Linked DNA regions of Caenorhabditis elegans. Each later gene encodes a partner of the first gene's protein in a complex. Each region holds a gene or a part of one and is shown on either strand. Other genes may lie near its edges.

What was found.
Region 2: the proteins of hmp-2 (region 1) and hmp-1 are in contact, whole or in part, in a crystal structure (PDB 5XA5), measured with the Caenorhabditis elegans proteins. Residues at the interface, in NP_001252426.1 of Caenorhabditis elegans: Ser47, Ile48, Val49, Glu50, Met51, Met52, Gln53, Pro55, Thr56, Gln57, Gln58, Leu59, Lys60, Ser62, Val63, Met64, Asp65, Leu66, Leu67, Thr68, Tyr69, Glu70, Gly71, Ser72; in NP_505985.1 of Caenorhabditis elegans: Asn20, Val21, Gln24, Gln27, Leu28, Glu31, Val32, Ile35, Glu37, Thr38, Phe39, Pro40, Leu41, Lys42, Thr47, Leu50, Val51, Thr53, Leu54, Ala57, Val58, Asn60, Phe61, Thr64, Gly65, Ala68, Cys72, Leu85, Met99, Gly103.

The regions. Positions count from the first base shown.
Region 1 is NC_003279.8:14,736,080-14,743,368, reverse strand, and holds hmp-2 (Armadillo/beta-catenin-like repeat protein), read right to left. Parts: upstream 4,488-7,289; coding exon 4,432-4,487; intron 3,801-4,431; coding exon 3,739-3,800; intron 3,682-3,738; coding exon 3,019-3,681; intron 2,912-3,018; coding exon 2,747-2,911; intron 2,407-2,746; coding exon 1,415-2,406; intron 1,024-1,414; coding exon 847-1,023; 3' UTR 713-846; downstream 1-712. Other genes in the region: K05C4.5 (WD_REPEATS_REGION domain-containing protein), read right to left, coding at 492-604; K05C4.7 (Armadillo repeat-containing protein 1), read right to left, coding at 4,747-5,523, 5,574-5,666; K05C4.4 (Leucine Rich repeat-containing domain protein), read right to left, coding at 6,585-6,908, 6,954-7,069, 7,113-7,289. UniProt on the Caenorhabditis elegans protein: Required for cell migration during body enclosure and cell shape changes during body elongation. Plays a role in recruitment of the cadherin protein hmr-1 to adherens junctions.
Region 2 is NC_003283.11:11,844,285-11,852,900, forward strand, and holds hmp-1 (Vinculin), read left to right. Parts: upstream 1-1,592; 5' UTR 1,593-1,593; coding exon 1,594-1,977; intron 1,978-2,021; coding exon 2,022-2,477; intron 2,478-2,523; coding exon 2,524-2,727; intron 2,728-2,799; exon of another isoform or gene 2,800-3,022; intron 3,023-3,122; coding exon 3,123-3,653; intron 3,654-3,755; coding exon 3,756-4,583; intron 4,584-5,066; coding exon 5,067-5,207; coding exon of another isoform or gene 5,208-5,255; exon of another isoform or gene 5,256-5,504; coding exon of another isoform or gene 5,505-5,612; exon of another isoform or gene 5,613-6,496; coding exon 6,497-6,597; intron 6,598-7,338; coding exon 7,339-7,486; 3' UTR 7,487-7,881; downstream 7,882-8,616. UniProt on the Caenorhabditis elegans protein: Required for cell migration during body enclosure and cell shape changes during body elongation. Required for proper localization of other junctional components, such as pac-1.

The DNA.
Region 1 (7,289 bases):
CGTTTTCTGAATTTTTCGGTTTTTCTTGATTTTTCGTTCAATATTTGATTTATTTGATTTAAACCCTGTTTTTCAAAATTTGAAACCCTTTTCCAAATAAAATATATAAATAACTATTAAATTGTGGAATTTTAGGCAAATTTGAAAATTTCCGCCAATTTCTCCAAGGTTATCAAGTTTTATTCACGGAAAAGTACCTGAAAATTTGAGAAACAGAGTTTAAAACTAAATATGTGTAAGAAAAATCAAGAAAAACCAAAGAATTTAGCCAGAAAACGCGAGAATATAAACAAATTACGTCACTTATTTTCGCGGGAATTCAATTTTTGAAAAATTGAAAAATCATAAAAAATTTAGAACATTTTTTCAGTTATAATCGGTTATTTGGGTATATTTTCTGTCATTTTAAGCAAAAAATTTGTTTTGACTCTACTCCACCTTTAATTTTTAATTTCAAAAATCATTTTTTCCAATAAATCCTCCGTACAAACCTAGATTTCCTCACAATTGCCATTTTTCCACTATTCTCATCGATGGCAATGTGTCGAGCCGTCCGGCTTATCATTCCGCATCGGATTTTCTGCTTTTCAAGGCAGATACTCATCTGGAAATTTTTCGTTTAAATTGTCTGAAATTTTTTTTTTGAAAAAATATAGGAAAAAGGAACCGAAGAACCAAAAAAAAGATACGTATAACATTAGATAGTAGGAAGTATAAAATTACATTTATAATATAAATATATTGAAAGTATCAAAAATTAAATTTAAAACCATGAATAATAATTCCCAGTGGATATATTCAGCAGATTATGTGTAAAAAATGCAAAAATACGAGAAGATAAATTAATTACAAATCGGTATCGTACCAATTGTGATTAGGGCGCATTTGTGAGTTGTTCAACGCCATATTAATGGATTCCGAGTGTCCGCCGTCGTTTGTCGGATACATTTCAGCGAAAAGCTCTCGTTCCAGCCCATCACGTTGCCAATCCGCAGCACTTCCACTCATCTCGTAGTCGTACGACTGAAAATTCGGAATTAATTCATGAATGGCTCGCTCGAAAATCGGAAATTTATGTTGAAATTTTTTTTTCTATTTTTCGAAAAAAAGCTGAAAATTTGAACTATTTTCCTTGTTTTTAGAACAAAATTATATGGTTTTTCTCATCAACATTTGTCCATATGGACAATATTTCATTAAAACATTGAATTTTTAAAAAACTTTGAGGCCCCACGGATTCAAGATCCGGTGGGATTCTAGATCTACCATTTCCGGATCACCGTGCCAACACATAGAACACATTTTTTCAACGATCCGGAATCCCACAATATCTTAAATCCGTGGTGGCTCAAAAGTTTTCTTTCGATTTTTCGGTTTTTTTACGGAAAATTTATTTTTTTTCCTAATTCCTCACATTAGACATATTCATGATGGCAGCTGAATCTCCTCTCTTCAAATTACTCAACACTCCATTCGCATAAGTGACGACTGATTTGTACTGTGAGCCACGAGATTCCATTAAAAGAGCACTAACTCCAGTACTCTCAACAGCACGGGCTCCGTCTGGCCGCTTGCTCAACTGATAGAGAAGCCCAAGAATCTCGCGTTCGAGAACTTCATCATCCATGGATCCGAGTCTCGGATGAGCCAGAAGACGATGGAGAAGATCCAAGAATGGTGGACATTCTGGATTTCCGACTTGTCCAATATCATCACAGCATGCTGCAGCGACTGCCGGATGATTCGCGAGCTGATGAAGAGCCGAGACAGCTCCTTCGATGACTCCCCACATTGGAACTCCATCTACAGCAATATCAGGATTCTCCTCAATCGCCGTGATAGCTCTTCTCAAGATATCCATTGTCAGTGACACAGCTGTATGCCCATTTGCAGTTTGTTCTTGTGTCAACTCGATAAGATTTGTTTGAAGAAGTGCACTATTTCTAATAACTCCGAGAGCTGCCTTGATAACTGGAGTACGAAGAGTTTCCAGCTGATCCAAAATCACTGGGAATGCTTGACAGAATCTCAGCTCACTTTGAGCTTCTTCAGCCAGTGAGTGCCTGGCAGTACAGTGCCGAAGAGCACAGAGAGCCGGTTCGGTGACTTCTTCAACTTCAGGTAGTCGGCGGATCGCGGTGACGAGAGCATCGATTCCCCCGTGAGAACACACGGTTTGCTTGTTTCTAGTGTTATTGCAGGTGAGATTGCTCAATGTTCCACACGCGCAGGCAGTCATTCCATCGTTGGCGACACGAATGATTTCGAGAAGCTTGATGATCAGTTGAGTGAGATTTTCCTCGTTTGTCGCAGAATCCGACAGATTTCTCATCGCCACTAGAATCGCCGTCTGGGATCGCTCGTCTTTTGCGGTGCAGAGCTCCACGTAGAGAGCAGGAAGGCAGCCTAGAAAAAATTAATATTGAAAAGTTTAAATTTCTGAACTTTTTTATTGGAAAATTCTCAAAAAACGCGCAATTTCAAAGTAATTTCCTGCTGAAAGAGGGTAAAATTGGAGGTTTCAGCGAAACTTTGAACCACCGGAACAAAAATTTTGAAATTTGTTGGAATTTCGTGAAAGATAAAGGAAAATGTTTAAAAATTGCTTCAAAACACTCGAAATAGCTGCGAATTTCAAGTATTTTCAGCTAAAAATCTCAAATTTCCAGCTTTTCAGTGGATAAAAACCTGAAAATATCTCTAAAAATGCGATATAAAATAGTTTTTAATCAAAACATCCATGTACCAAGACTGATCAACGCCGGTTTGTTGCTCGGACAAACGGACAGGGATCGAATGCAACGGACGACGGTATAGATGAGCTTCCGATGATCCGAGTACTCGCGAAGAATCGAAACCAAGATCTGTGGTCCCAACAGTGATAGGAATGTGATCTTCGATGGAGCATCGTCTGCAAAATTGACCGATTTTTGAAATTTTAGAGTGGAAAATTTGAATTTATAGCTTTAAAAAATGCAAATTTGTACAAAATTCTTGATTTTTCCAGTGAATCCTTACCGATCAACAGGAAATACAACCCATCCGCCACTTGAGCCAGCAGCTTCGGATTCGTCTTATGAAGGTGCGGAGTTAGCGCCTCAACGGCGTTGAGAGCTCTCGCTTGAGCTCTGGAATCAGAAACATGCATCAGAAGGTTCCGAAGTGTTGTCACAGCATAGTGAACAACTGATTCCAGTGAATCATAGAGCATTCGAATGATTTCAGCAAGCCCTCCGCTTCTGAAGATCAGAAGAGGTCCTCCACGTTGCTCAGACATGTGAGACAATGCTCCAATCGCATTCCGACGGACATTCACGTTGGAACTCTTCGACGCAGCCATCAGAGCTTCCACAAAAGATCGATGATCGAATCCCGGCGCATTGAAGAAGTTCGGATCTTCCCTTGAGAGCATATAAGCTCGATGAACAGCTCTAGCAACCACTGACTCATCATGATCGCACATAAGCTTCACTAGATCCGGAAGCGAGAGTCCTGACATATCGTTTGATCCTTCGTAGGTTAGAAGATCCATAACTGATTGCTTCAGCTGTTGAGTTGGCATTTGCATCATTTCGACGATGCTTGTAGTTGAATTTGTGGCTTCTGCAGCAGAAGTTGGTGGAATCCAGTCGGGGAACATCGCTGAGCGGATTCTAGAGGTTCGAGTTTCGACTTCATGGTCTGGAAATTAATTTAAATGAAGAAATTTCGAAAAAATTGTATTTTTTTGTGTTTTACCAGTGAATATCGAATAAGAGTTGGTAGAGTGAAGAAGCATGGTTGTTGGGAGTTCACAGCTACTGAAAATTATACTTTTTAAAGGAAATGGTGAGTTTTAGACGAGAAAATGCAAAGAAATTCGATATTTTAGGTGCTGAAACTATCAAATTTCATGTGGGAGCAGAGAAAAGTCATTTTAAACAGGAAAAATCCACAAAAACTAAGATTTTTTTAAAATTAAATTTAAATTTAATAAATTTATTTCGAGTGGAAAAGTGCGAAAAATCGAAATTTAGAGTAGAAAATTTAAAAAAAAATAGGATTTCTAGTTGAAAATTGAGGAATAATCGCATTTTTCGAATCAGATACTAGCTAAAAAGGAATTTTTACTTTTATGGCTATTTTGAAAAACATTCCACTATTTTGATACTGCAATCGTCAAAATACGAGGTTTCAGGTAGAAAATCGAGAAAAATCGCATTTTTTGAATCGGAAACTAGCTGAAAACGCAAAATAAAGATTATCACTTGGAATTTGTGCTTCTGTGGCGATTTTAAAGGAAAATTATTCTATTTTTGGTGTTGCAACTGTCAAAATACGTGGTTTCAGGTAGAAAATTTAGAAAAATGGGTTTTTTCGAATCGGAAACTAGATGAAAACGCAAAAACAAGATTTTCACTAGGACTTTGGATTTTTAAGGATATTTTATACCGATAAATTCCTCTATTTTTGGTACCGCAACCGTCCAAATATGAGAATAATCGCATTTTTCGAATCTGAAACTGCCGAATAGATAATTAGAGCTGGTTAAAACAGCTTAAAAACACATAAAAATCAAGAATACGAGGATTTAAAAACCAGTGTGAAACGATTTATATGCCTGTGCGGTGATAATACCAGAAAGAGATCTCAAAAAAAACGAGAAACAGGAGAAAAAAGAAAATATTGAGATAACAAAGAAGAAACCGTAGTACTTTAATACATTTTTTTTCGAGATTTTCCGAGATAATCCGAGAATTCCTTCCATCACCAGAGGGAAGTTTTGACGAATGAAGTGATCGAACTGAACCATCCGCCCTCTTGACCACTTCCATGGGCAGCCATCTCATTAGTTATCACACAACTTGCCGGATCCACGTGAAGCACATCATCATCCAAATATTCGGGGTAATCTTTCGAGTTTTCCGTGATTTTGCCCATCTCTGACGCGTAAAACTCGAATTTCTCGTCGATTCCGTTCACTTTCACTAACTGCGCGACGTACTCGAATCCGGCGGCGGCGAAAACGGACTGCGCAATGTCCTTGGCTTCGATTGTCGGGATTGTGCGGAGCACGGCGCGTGGAATTGAGTTCTGCTCGGTTATATATACACTGATTACTCCTTTTTTCTTCAGAAGGCCTCTCTCAACTGACAGCTTCTTCGTTTCATCGAATTCCTCCGCATCGAATTCCATAATAATCTGCTTTGACTTTCTTCCAACGAATTTTCGGTGAAGAGTTCCGCCCTTGTCGAGCTCTTTGATCGCATCGGCTAGAGGCTCTTTCTCGGCTCTTTTGGCATCCAGCGAATTCTTCACTACTCGAATCCTACTCGAGACAAGGACCAAGTTATAGTTGACACTGGGATTTGTGATATTTTCGCAGGCTTCCGACAATGCTGGAAGTAAATCTGCGGATTTCAGCAGTTGCTCGATGTTCCCCGACTGCTCTGTGAGCAAAACGAGGATTTTAACCGTGTATCTGATGACATCGGAGCTTTCGTCCTTGAGGAGCGTTGGGAGAGTGTGGAAAAATGTTTTGTCCTGGAAGAAATTTAATTTTCATGTGAATCCTGAGTGAGCTAACGACTTACCTTAAGCACGACTGCTCGATTCTCCGGCTTTTGGCACAGCTTGTAGTACGCGCGAATCGTTTTTATTTTGTCGGCATTTACGACTTCAGTCATTCTGAAATAAAAACCTTGATTTTTAACGAAAATTTCGATTTTGAACGACAAACTTTAACGCAAACAACCAGAATAGCGATGAAATACTCAATTCTAAATGTGAAAAACAAAAAGTGGATAAAAATCGATAAATTGAGGGGAAAAGAGAAAATGGAAACAAAAGAAAATGTGGGCGGAGTCACACGATGAGGCATACCGCAAGTGGTGCGCACACATTTTGCAAAGGGCTCGCACACAGTTTTCCTTCTCAATAATTATTACTCGCCATTTGGGACGCGAAGTCTATGCCAAAAAAAATTTAACGCATCATGCACATTTTGAGGGAAAAAAATAAATTACGAAAATAGTATTATGTAAAATATGAAAAAAAAAAAGAAAACAAATTCCACCCTAAAATTTTCGCCATTTTCAATTTTTTGAAGCTGCAGCCTGAAAACTAAAAGATACCGAGTGGGAAAGTGGAAACATTGCCGTTTTTGAATATGAAACAAACATTTCAGCGAAGATACATTACAAACCCTTTTAAAACAACATAGGAAAACCAATAATCACAGAAACATCAATCAAAAATGCGAAAAAAATATGAAAAATCGGTATTTGGCTGAAAAAAAAAATTTTCAATCGAAAACTTGCTAAGCCAATGAAACTGAATACAATGTTGGGATTAAATAATATAAGGAGAGATAACGAGATATATATATATATATATATATAATTTACGAAATAGGTATTGTAACAGTAAAAAAAAAGGAAATTTTCATGTCTTCTTCGGTTGCATTTGTTTCAAGCTTCTCTCCTGATAACTGATGTGACGCCAGAAGCTGCTGGAAGTGCTGCTGGAAGGTTTATTATCCTCATCTTCAAAATGTTCTTCCAGAGCTAGTGGTGCCATCTTTTCCGGTTTATCATCAATTCTCTTCAACGTCGGGATTCTTTTGAAAAAATAAGTTGCAAAAGATCGGGCAACTCGAAAATGCAACTCGAAAAGGCAACTCGAAAAGCAACTCGAAAATTATCCGACAGCTTCAGATGCGTGAGCGATTTCAGCGACAGCAAAGGAAATGTGCAGTTCATTGTAAGAAAGTTGTTCCGCAGGTCGAGATGTTCCACATTTACAACTTGTTTAACCAAAATTCTCGTACATTCCTTGATATTGTTGTTTGAAAGGCCGAGAACTGTGCAATTCGGCAGGTAAGGAAAATTGCGGAGACTGTTCAAGCAATGGTCCCGGGCAGTGAATTTCTGGAAAAGAAAACAAATTTCAAAATTTGATCAACCAAGACATACCTTAATACCTTCCAGATTGATCGATCGGAAGATTTCAAGATTAAAACAGAATCCGCTCACATCCAATGTGTCCGGGCGGACTTCAAGCAATCTGTTCACGGTAATTACATCCAATACTGAAAACTTTTCTCATCAGGCTATTACGGTTTTCACACCTACCAGACATATCTTGTACCGTTGAGACGTATTGACCGACTTCCGCAATCTCCGATGCGAGCGTCTCAAATTTTAATTCATTTTTGTCAACGATCACTGATTCGGTTATAGTTTTGAAACCCAATTTCAAAATGGTCTCCGCAAGATTTTTTTCACTAAAATTGTGGGAAGTGAAGAGCT
Region 2 (8,616 bases), on another chromosome or scaffold:
AACAGTTACTAGATTTCCGTAAATTGTCTATGAAAGTTTAGACAGGAGAAACCTCTTAAAATTGGGACAAAATAGACTCTAAATCAAATTATTATTGAACATATTTTTACAATAGCACAGATCGTGTTGCAGTGATTAATAATGTTGTTGATATCATCTGAGAAAGTTCAGGTTCTCAGAAAAATGCAATCTCAAAAATGTACTTTCCCTGATTTTTCCTAGTTTTTTTTCTTTTTTTTCACTTCAGTTCACCCCCGCGATTCAAAGTTTACAAACAGCTGCTGCCGTGTACAAAACGTGATTCAGACTTCTCTATGACTCAGATTCCACTTTTTTGAAACGAGAAATTGTTTCGGTCGTATTCAAATTTAAATTTCAATACCCAATATAAGAATATGATGATGATGCATCAATTCACTGTCCTTCCATATCCCTCAGAATTATCCCTCGAAATCTCCGAATAAGACGTAGAAGACGTCAAAACAAAAGGGAAACTTTTTGTCCCTTTTCCATCATCTTCTCAATACTCCTTCCATAAAAGTCCTTTATTTCCGGGGCGCACACTCACACGCTGCTGCTGCAGTTGCCCCAACATAGGCCATACGTACCCAATTTTATAATCCATGGGAGTCGGGCAAACAAACTCAATTCGGTCATCTTCTCCATCTGTCGAGTCTCTGCTCATCCCGAAGGGAACCGTCCTGCTTCCGTCCGTCCCAATGTCTGTGTCTCTTCATCTCCATTGACCAGTGTCCTTGCCTCTTCGTCCTCTATTCCCGCCGCTCGTCCGTTCTTATACCCTTCTCTCCGCTCACTCGTCACCCGCTGACTGACCGACCGGCCAACCCGACTGAATCATCATTTCTTTATGTGTCTTCTTTCTCTCTATATTTAACAGTGTCTTCGTACACCGGTTGATGGTGCGGAATCATCGTTTTCACCATATTCACTTCTCACTCGCAAATACCTCAAAAGTTTGCTTTTTGTGACTTTTTGGCTTCGCAACTTTTTTATTTGAAAATTTTTGAGTGTGAAACATATATTCAACATGGCAAATAAAAACTAAGTTTCTTCATTTTCGGTCGAAATTTTAATTTTCGAATTTGTTTTTTTCTTAAATTTTATTTAAAAAATAGTTATTTCCTAAATTGCCGGCATGTGAAACATAATCCCCTATTAATTGTTTTGTTTTTTCGTTGAGTAAACACCCGAAAGGCCTCACAGGCCCCACCACACTTGTTTCTCGCTATTTTGCGAAAGGATTTTTTATTTTTTTCATTGAAAATTTAATTTTTAATTTTTGAAAAGTTAGAGTAAAGATTTTTATTTTATATGAGTCATTTTCTCAAAGAATAAGTAAATTCTGTGTTTGCCAATAAAGTTTAACGGTGACAGTACCCTCTTGGATCTCTTTGAGACCAACCACCCCTTCTTTATCGTGCGCCTTCAAATCTAACAGTAGTTCTAATCGATACTTTAATGTAAGGTTATGTATTTCTTTTTATATTTTTTGATTTCATCTCAATATAAATATTATTTCTCTTCGTTTTATTTGCATTCTAATCTGAATTTTCAATTTTATTAATTTTCAGAATGCCTGCGAATGGCAATTCTCATGCGTATTTCAACATCGACGAAGTGCGCTCGAAAAATGTTTTGAAACAAATTACTCAATTAATCAATGAAGTGACCAACATCACTGAAACGTTTCCGTTAAAACCTGGACAAACTACTGAAGGACTTGTCGCCACTCTTGATGCTGCCGTTGCTAATTTTCTTCAAACGGGAAGCTTTGCAATTTCGAAATGCCCAATTGCAAACAGTGATCCACGCGCAATTGATTTATTGCACGAAGCTCTTGGAGCAGTTCAAGATACTGGGCAAGTGATGATTCAAACTGGAAGAGATTTTGTCAGAGATTCAACTTCAACAAACAAACGAGCTATTGCAACGAATTCTGGTAGAAATTTGTTGACTGTAAGTTTTTAGGTACTCTTTTAACTGAAAAATGTTGTATTCAGGCTGTCGCTAAATTCCTAATTCTTGCCGACTCGATTGATGTAAAAGTGATAGTTGATAAAGTAGATGAAGTTCGAGAAACTGCACACCAAATGATTGAAGCGGATACAAAAATCAAAGTAGATGATTTGTACAATCTTCTCATTTCTCAAATCGAAGAACTTGATATCACTGTTCGACGACGAGCCATTGATTTGGTTAAACCAAATCAGAGAGATGATCTTCTAGCAGCAAGATCAGCACTTCGACAGACTGCACCACTTCTGTATACTTCAACACGAACATTTGTAAGACATCCAGAACATGAAGAAGCTCGAAGAAATCGTGATTACACTGCAGATGAAATGCATTCTGCTTTAAATGCTCTTGAATCTGTTTTAAACGGACAACAACCGAAAGTAACATTTTCTGAATATGGAAGAATAGGCGATCTTATCAATGAAATCGATACTTTTCAAGTGAGTTTAAAAATTTCAAATAATAAGACAAATAATTTATTTTAAGAATCGAATCGAAATTGATCCAGCCCATTATCGTCGAGGAACTGATCGTCCAGATCTTGAAGGACATTGTGAACGAATTGTTAGTGGTTCTGCTTCAATTGCCGATGCTGAAAGCACTCGTGAAAATCGAAAACAAAAAATTGTTGCTGAATGCAATAATTTGCGGCAAGCTCTTCAAGAACTTTTGACCGAATATGAAAAATCTGTAAGTTTTTTCTATTGATCTCTTGACTTGTTGCCTCGTTTAAAATAAAAAGAAATAAAAAACATTCAAAGAAGCGCATCTTTTTCACAAAAGGGCGATGGAGACGGTGAGAACAAACAAACAAACAATCGTGCGTTCTTTCAAGTGTGACGCCTTGTCCCTCAGGGCGAGAACAACTGTTTTTGTTTGTTAACCGAACTCGAACTAAAGCCGTTTTTTAGAAAAAAAAATGACCACCGCGAGTTCAGACATGGAAAATGTTTTTTTTAGAATTTCGGGGAAATTCTTTAAAAAATTTGTAGTAGTAGAAAATATAGAGACTACAAAGTTTTTACAATAAAATTTAAAGCTTATTACGACCTGTTTAACTATGTTTTAAATCTGTAATTTTTCAGACCGGCCGAAGAGATGATAATGATGATATTCCTCTTGGAATCGCAGAAGTACACAAAAGAACAAAAGATCTCCGGCGACACCTTCGTCGTGCAATTGTAGATCATATAAGTGATGCTTTCCTGGATACCCGTACACCGCTTATTTTACTGATAGAAGCTGCTAAAGAAGGCCATGAAGAGAATACAAGATATCGTTCAAAGATGTTCCAAGAGCATGCAAATGAAATTGTTTCAGTTGCTCGTCTTTCTTGTCAACTTTCATCAGATGTTGAAAGTGTTAGTGTCATTCAGCATACGGCTGCTCAACTTGAAAAACTTGCTCCACAAGTTGCTCAAGCTGCCATCTTACTTTGCCATCAACCTACTTCAAAAACTGCTCAAGAGAACATGGAAACCTATAAAAATGCTTGGTTTGACAAAGTGAGATTGTTAACGACTGCTCTTGACAATATCACTACTTTGGACGACTTTTTGGCTGTCAGTGAAGCACATATTGTTGAAGACTGTGAGCGGGGAATCAAAGGTATCACGGTAAGTATTTTAGTTCTCAAAATTTTAAATTTAATGAAAATTAACAAAAATAGTTTTCGCTAAATTCGTCAACTTTTGAGACGTTCAAACTGAATTTTCCAGGCAAACGCTTCAACACCGGATGAAAATGCGGCCAACTGTGAAACTGTCGACTGTGCTGCCGGATCGATACGTGGACGAGCTCTCCGAGTCTGTGACGTTGTCGATGCTGAAATGGACTTCCTTCAGAACTCTGAATACACTGAAACTGTTAAGCAAGCTGTTCGGATTTTGAAAACTCAACGTGTAGATCAATTCGCTGAGCGTGCGAGCGCTTTAGCCAACCGTCAAGAAGCACACGGACTTACATGGGATCCAAAAACAAAGGAAGAAGAAATGAATGAATTTATCAATGCTTGTACATTAGTTCACGATGCAGTTAAAGACATTCGACATGCACTTTTAATGAACCGAAGTATGAATGATGTTGATTCGGATGTAGAGTATGAAGCTGATGGTGTTGGTGCAGCAAATGCAGATGCTAATCGTACGATATCCGAACAAGAAAATCAACAGAATCTGATGAGACGATTGCCAGAAGAAGAGAAAAAGAAAATTCAAGCACAAATTGATATCTTCAAAGTAACACAAACACGATTCGAAAGAGAAGTTGCCAAGTGGGATGAAACAGGAAATGATATTATATCATTGGCCAATAATATGTGTAAGATTATGATGAGTATGACAGAATTCACAAGAGGTTGTGGGCCATTGAAAACGACAATGGATGTTATCCGAGCAGCACAAGAAATCTCACTTAATGGATCAAAACTAAATGCATTGGCACGGCAGATTGGAGAAGAAAGTGCTGATTCGCAGACGAAAAAGGATTTGCTCGCATATTTGTCACAAATCACTCTATATTGTCAGCAACTGAATATTTGTAGTAAGGTGAGTTTTTTTAATTGGTGCCACGAGCTGTAAAAGCGTACCAAATGTTTTTGGTCAATTGTTTGTTTCGGGGGTTTTTTAAATTTGTCAAATTAGTTTTTCAAGAAAATTGTAAAGATTCACAATTAAAAACGCGTCTATAAAAACTAAAACTGAAAAGAATCTCGTATTTTTCAGAATTATCTGAAAAGTTTTTGAAAAAATTGAGAATTAAAAAAAAAAACTTATAGATAGTGTGATATTTCACCAAAAGAGGTTTCAACTGTTTTTAACGATTTCAGTAGAGATATAATTTTACTTCGCGTTTTTTTTGCGAACCAAGCTCTAGACTGAAGCCATGAAAAATGAAAAAAAAATTGTGATTGGCCTCACTTATACTAGAAAATTGTTCATATACTTACTATAAATAAGTTTTGTTTAAATTGCTTTCAAAAAACCATGTGAAATATAACTTTAAACTTTTAATAGAAAGTAATATTTCAGGTGAAAGCTGATGTGACTCAAGTTGGAAATGAGCTTGTCGTATCTGCACTTGACTCTGCAATGTCTCTTATTCAAACGGCTCGAAATCTTTTAACTGCTGTTGTACAGACTGTTAAAGCTGCATACATTGCCAGTACCAAGGTTGGTTCCCTTTCTTTAAACAAAACATTAATTATTATTCCCACTTGATGTCTGATACTATTGCTTTCCAGCATTTATCACACATTTCTTTTTTCGTACAGACGATAACGGCTGCTTACGTAATTCATTTCAAATCAGATGGTATTTCGCCCACTCTTTTGAGTAGACACGTGGTTTAAAGTGCCAATAGACCAGTTGCCTTTTGTACACTGAATTTTGAGATTTTAGAAAGTGTACCCAAAAGTTTTAGAAAATTAAATAAATAAAATTAAAAAAAAAAAAAAACATTCTCAATAGTGTGCACAACGCGAACGTGCTCGAGTCGAATCAGCCGTTGCGCTTAGCGATGCTCACAAAGCTATTAATTATGAAAGTCCGATGGATGAATCTGGTGAGAAAAAATGAGAAAGCATTAAATATCGTGTTGTGTGGTTTTATCGATGTTGTTTTTGAGAAAAAGAGATATTGAGCATGTCGAATTTAATTTTTTGCTTTTTTCTCAAAATTTACGTTGGCTGCTGCGTAATTTAATGGTAAATATTTTTTATAGTTAAAAAAAGCTTATGTCTTGAGTTCAAATCAGTGGTTAAGACTATTAATGTTTGACGATTTTTTTTTAATGGAGTAGGGATTTTGCTTTAAAAAAATCCAGAATAGTTTGATTCTCAGAAATACCCAAAAAAGAGAAAGAATGAAATGTCGAATTTTCGAAAATCAGATTTTTCAATTTTTGGCGATTCCCTATTTGAATTCTCTCAGTTTGGTGCGAATTCAAACATGGAATTTAGCCAAAAATTAAAAGCAAAATCTCAGATTTTTATAGATTTCCTGAATCCTAGAAAATACAAATTAATTTTCATTATATTCCAAAAAAAAGAAAACAATTCCAGTTAAATATGTTAATTCAAATTGGTAAGGACATCCCTTTCTTATTTTCCCTTCACACTTAAAAATCGTTTTCCCAACAAAAAAACATTTAACTTTCTAAAAATGCATTGTATCGGTCTTGATGTGTGGACATCGATCCCCCAATATGTCGGTCTTGTGATCTTATACTCCCCCGTAAAAAACTCATACATTTTAAACTAGATTGTATTGCAACTTTAACTAAGAAAAGAAGATTAAGTTGAAAAAAAAACTTGAAAGAAATTGATACGAACGTAAAATATGTGTTATTGTTGATGAAAAGTGTCTCGATGTTGTTTGCTGTTGGTTTCATTTTCTTAAATTGCTCGAATGCTTGGAATTCTTTGCTGATAACTTCCTGAAACTCATCCTTATTCTTGCAGTTCCGTCGTCCTAATGCCAACAGTGTACGTGTCGAGTGGCGAATGGCTCCACCAAAGAAACAACCACTAATTCGACCACAAAAGAATAATGCTATAATCAGGTAACGTTTTCATCTATTTTTTTTGAATCAAGGATCCCTCTATAAGTGTTTCCTTTGCCTGCAAAAGGACATATGACACACTTCATTGAGAAGCCATGTGAAAAAAAGTAGTCGGTCCCTGAATAATTCATAAAAAATAGCACTGCCACCAGAAAATGGCACGTAGCTGCCATTGTCAGTAGTCCCAAGTCCCTTTTTTTGTGGTAAAAGTGGTGAAAGCCGAAAGAGCTGCGACACCAAAATGTATATTCTTGACTTGTTGAGCAAAAGTGTATCCCTTGAGGATCATAAATGCAAATTGAGTTTTCGGAAAGCAAAAAAAAAGCGACAATGTTCATAAAAAGTGATGAATAGTTGGATGATTTCGGACATTGAAATGAAAGTTTTAAAGCATCAAAAAACACAATTTTTCTTTTCTTTCAGAAAATTTTCCCCCCCTGAAAAAATTTTTGATAAGATTTCAGACATTTTTTAAACCTATTAAACTAAATTTTACGATTTTGAGATGCACCCCGTAAATCGACACAAGCGCTACAGTAGTCATTACAATAATTACTGTAGTTTTCGCTACGAGATATTTTGCTCGTCAAAAATATGTTGTGCAATACGCATACTCAGAAGTTGGTGTTCCCGTGATAGGTGATCACTAATTCTTGATCATTATCTATTCCATTACAGAAAATTAATTAGAATCCCCCTTTCAAAAGATGTATTCAACGAACGCCGACTAATGTTATAAAGAGTTTGCAGACGGGCATCCGAACGGCGACCTTTGCAACCAGCTAAAGTGCTCGCCGAGTTTACGCGTAACGAGATTGAGACGGGTCGTGATAGTGACGACGAGGAACTTGATCGCCGGCATCAACAAAGAATAAACGGTCGTTTATAGATAATTTATTTCAGTTTTATTCATGTATCTTCATACTTTTCCCTTCCAAATCTTTCCACACATCCTTTATATGCCCGAGTCTTTATTATTTTCTCATTCTTTCAATTCTCTTCAGCTAGAAATTTGTATCTGTGTATTTTTTGTATTCATTTCTGTTTAATGCTCTAAATTCTATCAGCTCATCACCGCCACCATTATCACCGCATTTTTCATTTTTCTCCCCCATGAATATCATAATCCATACTGTTGAAAATCAGGTAACTTTACATCTTTACAATTTATTTTCGCACTATCAACCTCACCCTTTCAACGATTTTTTCTGTATGATTCTGATTTCTAAACTCCCTGATCTATGTGCACAAGTTTTTCAAATTAGATGAACTCAATTCTTTCCTATTTTTATTATGTATATAGACATCAAAAAGGTCTCGTACATCTGGCACCGTCAAAATTGTTGTGCCTGAGCATTACGAGCAGCTGGTACTAAACGGAAGTGTGTGCAACAACTCTCCTTCCACCCTCGCCTCCTTCTTCATTTGTACTACGTTTTGCTTTTCCCCTTATTCTCTTCTCCTGGACTACTAGCAACAGAAAGGGAGGAGGACATAATTGTTTTTTTCTTCAAGAGAGACTTCCCAAATGGATATCCCCTACTATTTTCACACATTCCCATATTGCCACCCATGTTTTCGCTTCAAGACCCAATTTCAATTCCCTAATTTCCTGCGCATTTCCGTGTTTGCACACGCGGCGAGTTACTTTTTAATTTCCTGAAAGCTTACGCCTCCGGGTTTTCCGTTTTTTTTTTTGCTGCTGTTGCTGCAGAAAAATCCTGGAAATCGCGTGCCTAAAGTGTATGGAACGCTGCTTACAGAATTTCCAACGAGATTCTAGAATATTCAACTTATTTTTCTTTCGAGAGACAAAGTGATGGTGGTGACCCAAATACTAATTAGTACTATTTTGTACGCTCATCTTGCTCCAGCGTCCTTATTAGTCTCATTATTTTGGGGCGAAAGTTGGCTGGTTTTTTGTCTCTCGTCATTGTTTTGGATGACCATAGAACATCTTATTTAGAAACTTGTTAGTAGAACTACGTTACAAAGTACAGTAACTCTACAAATCTCCAA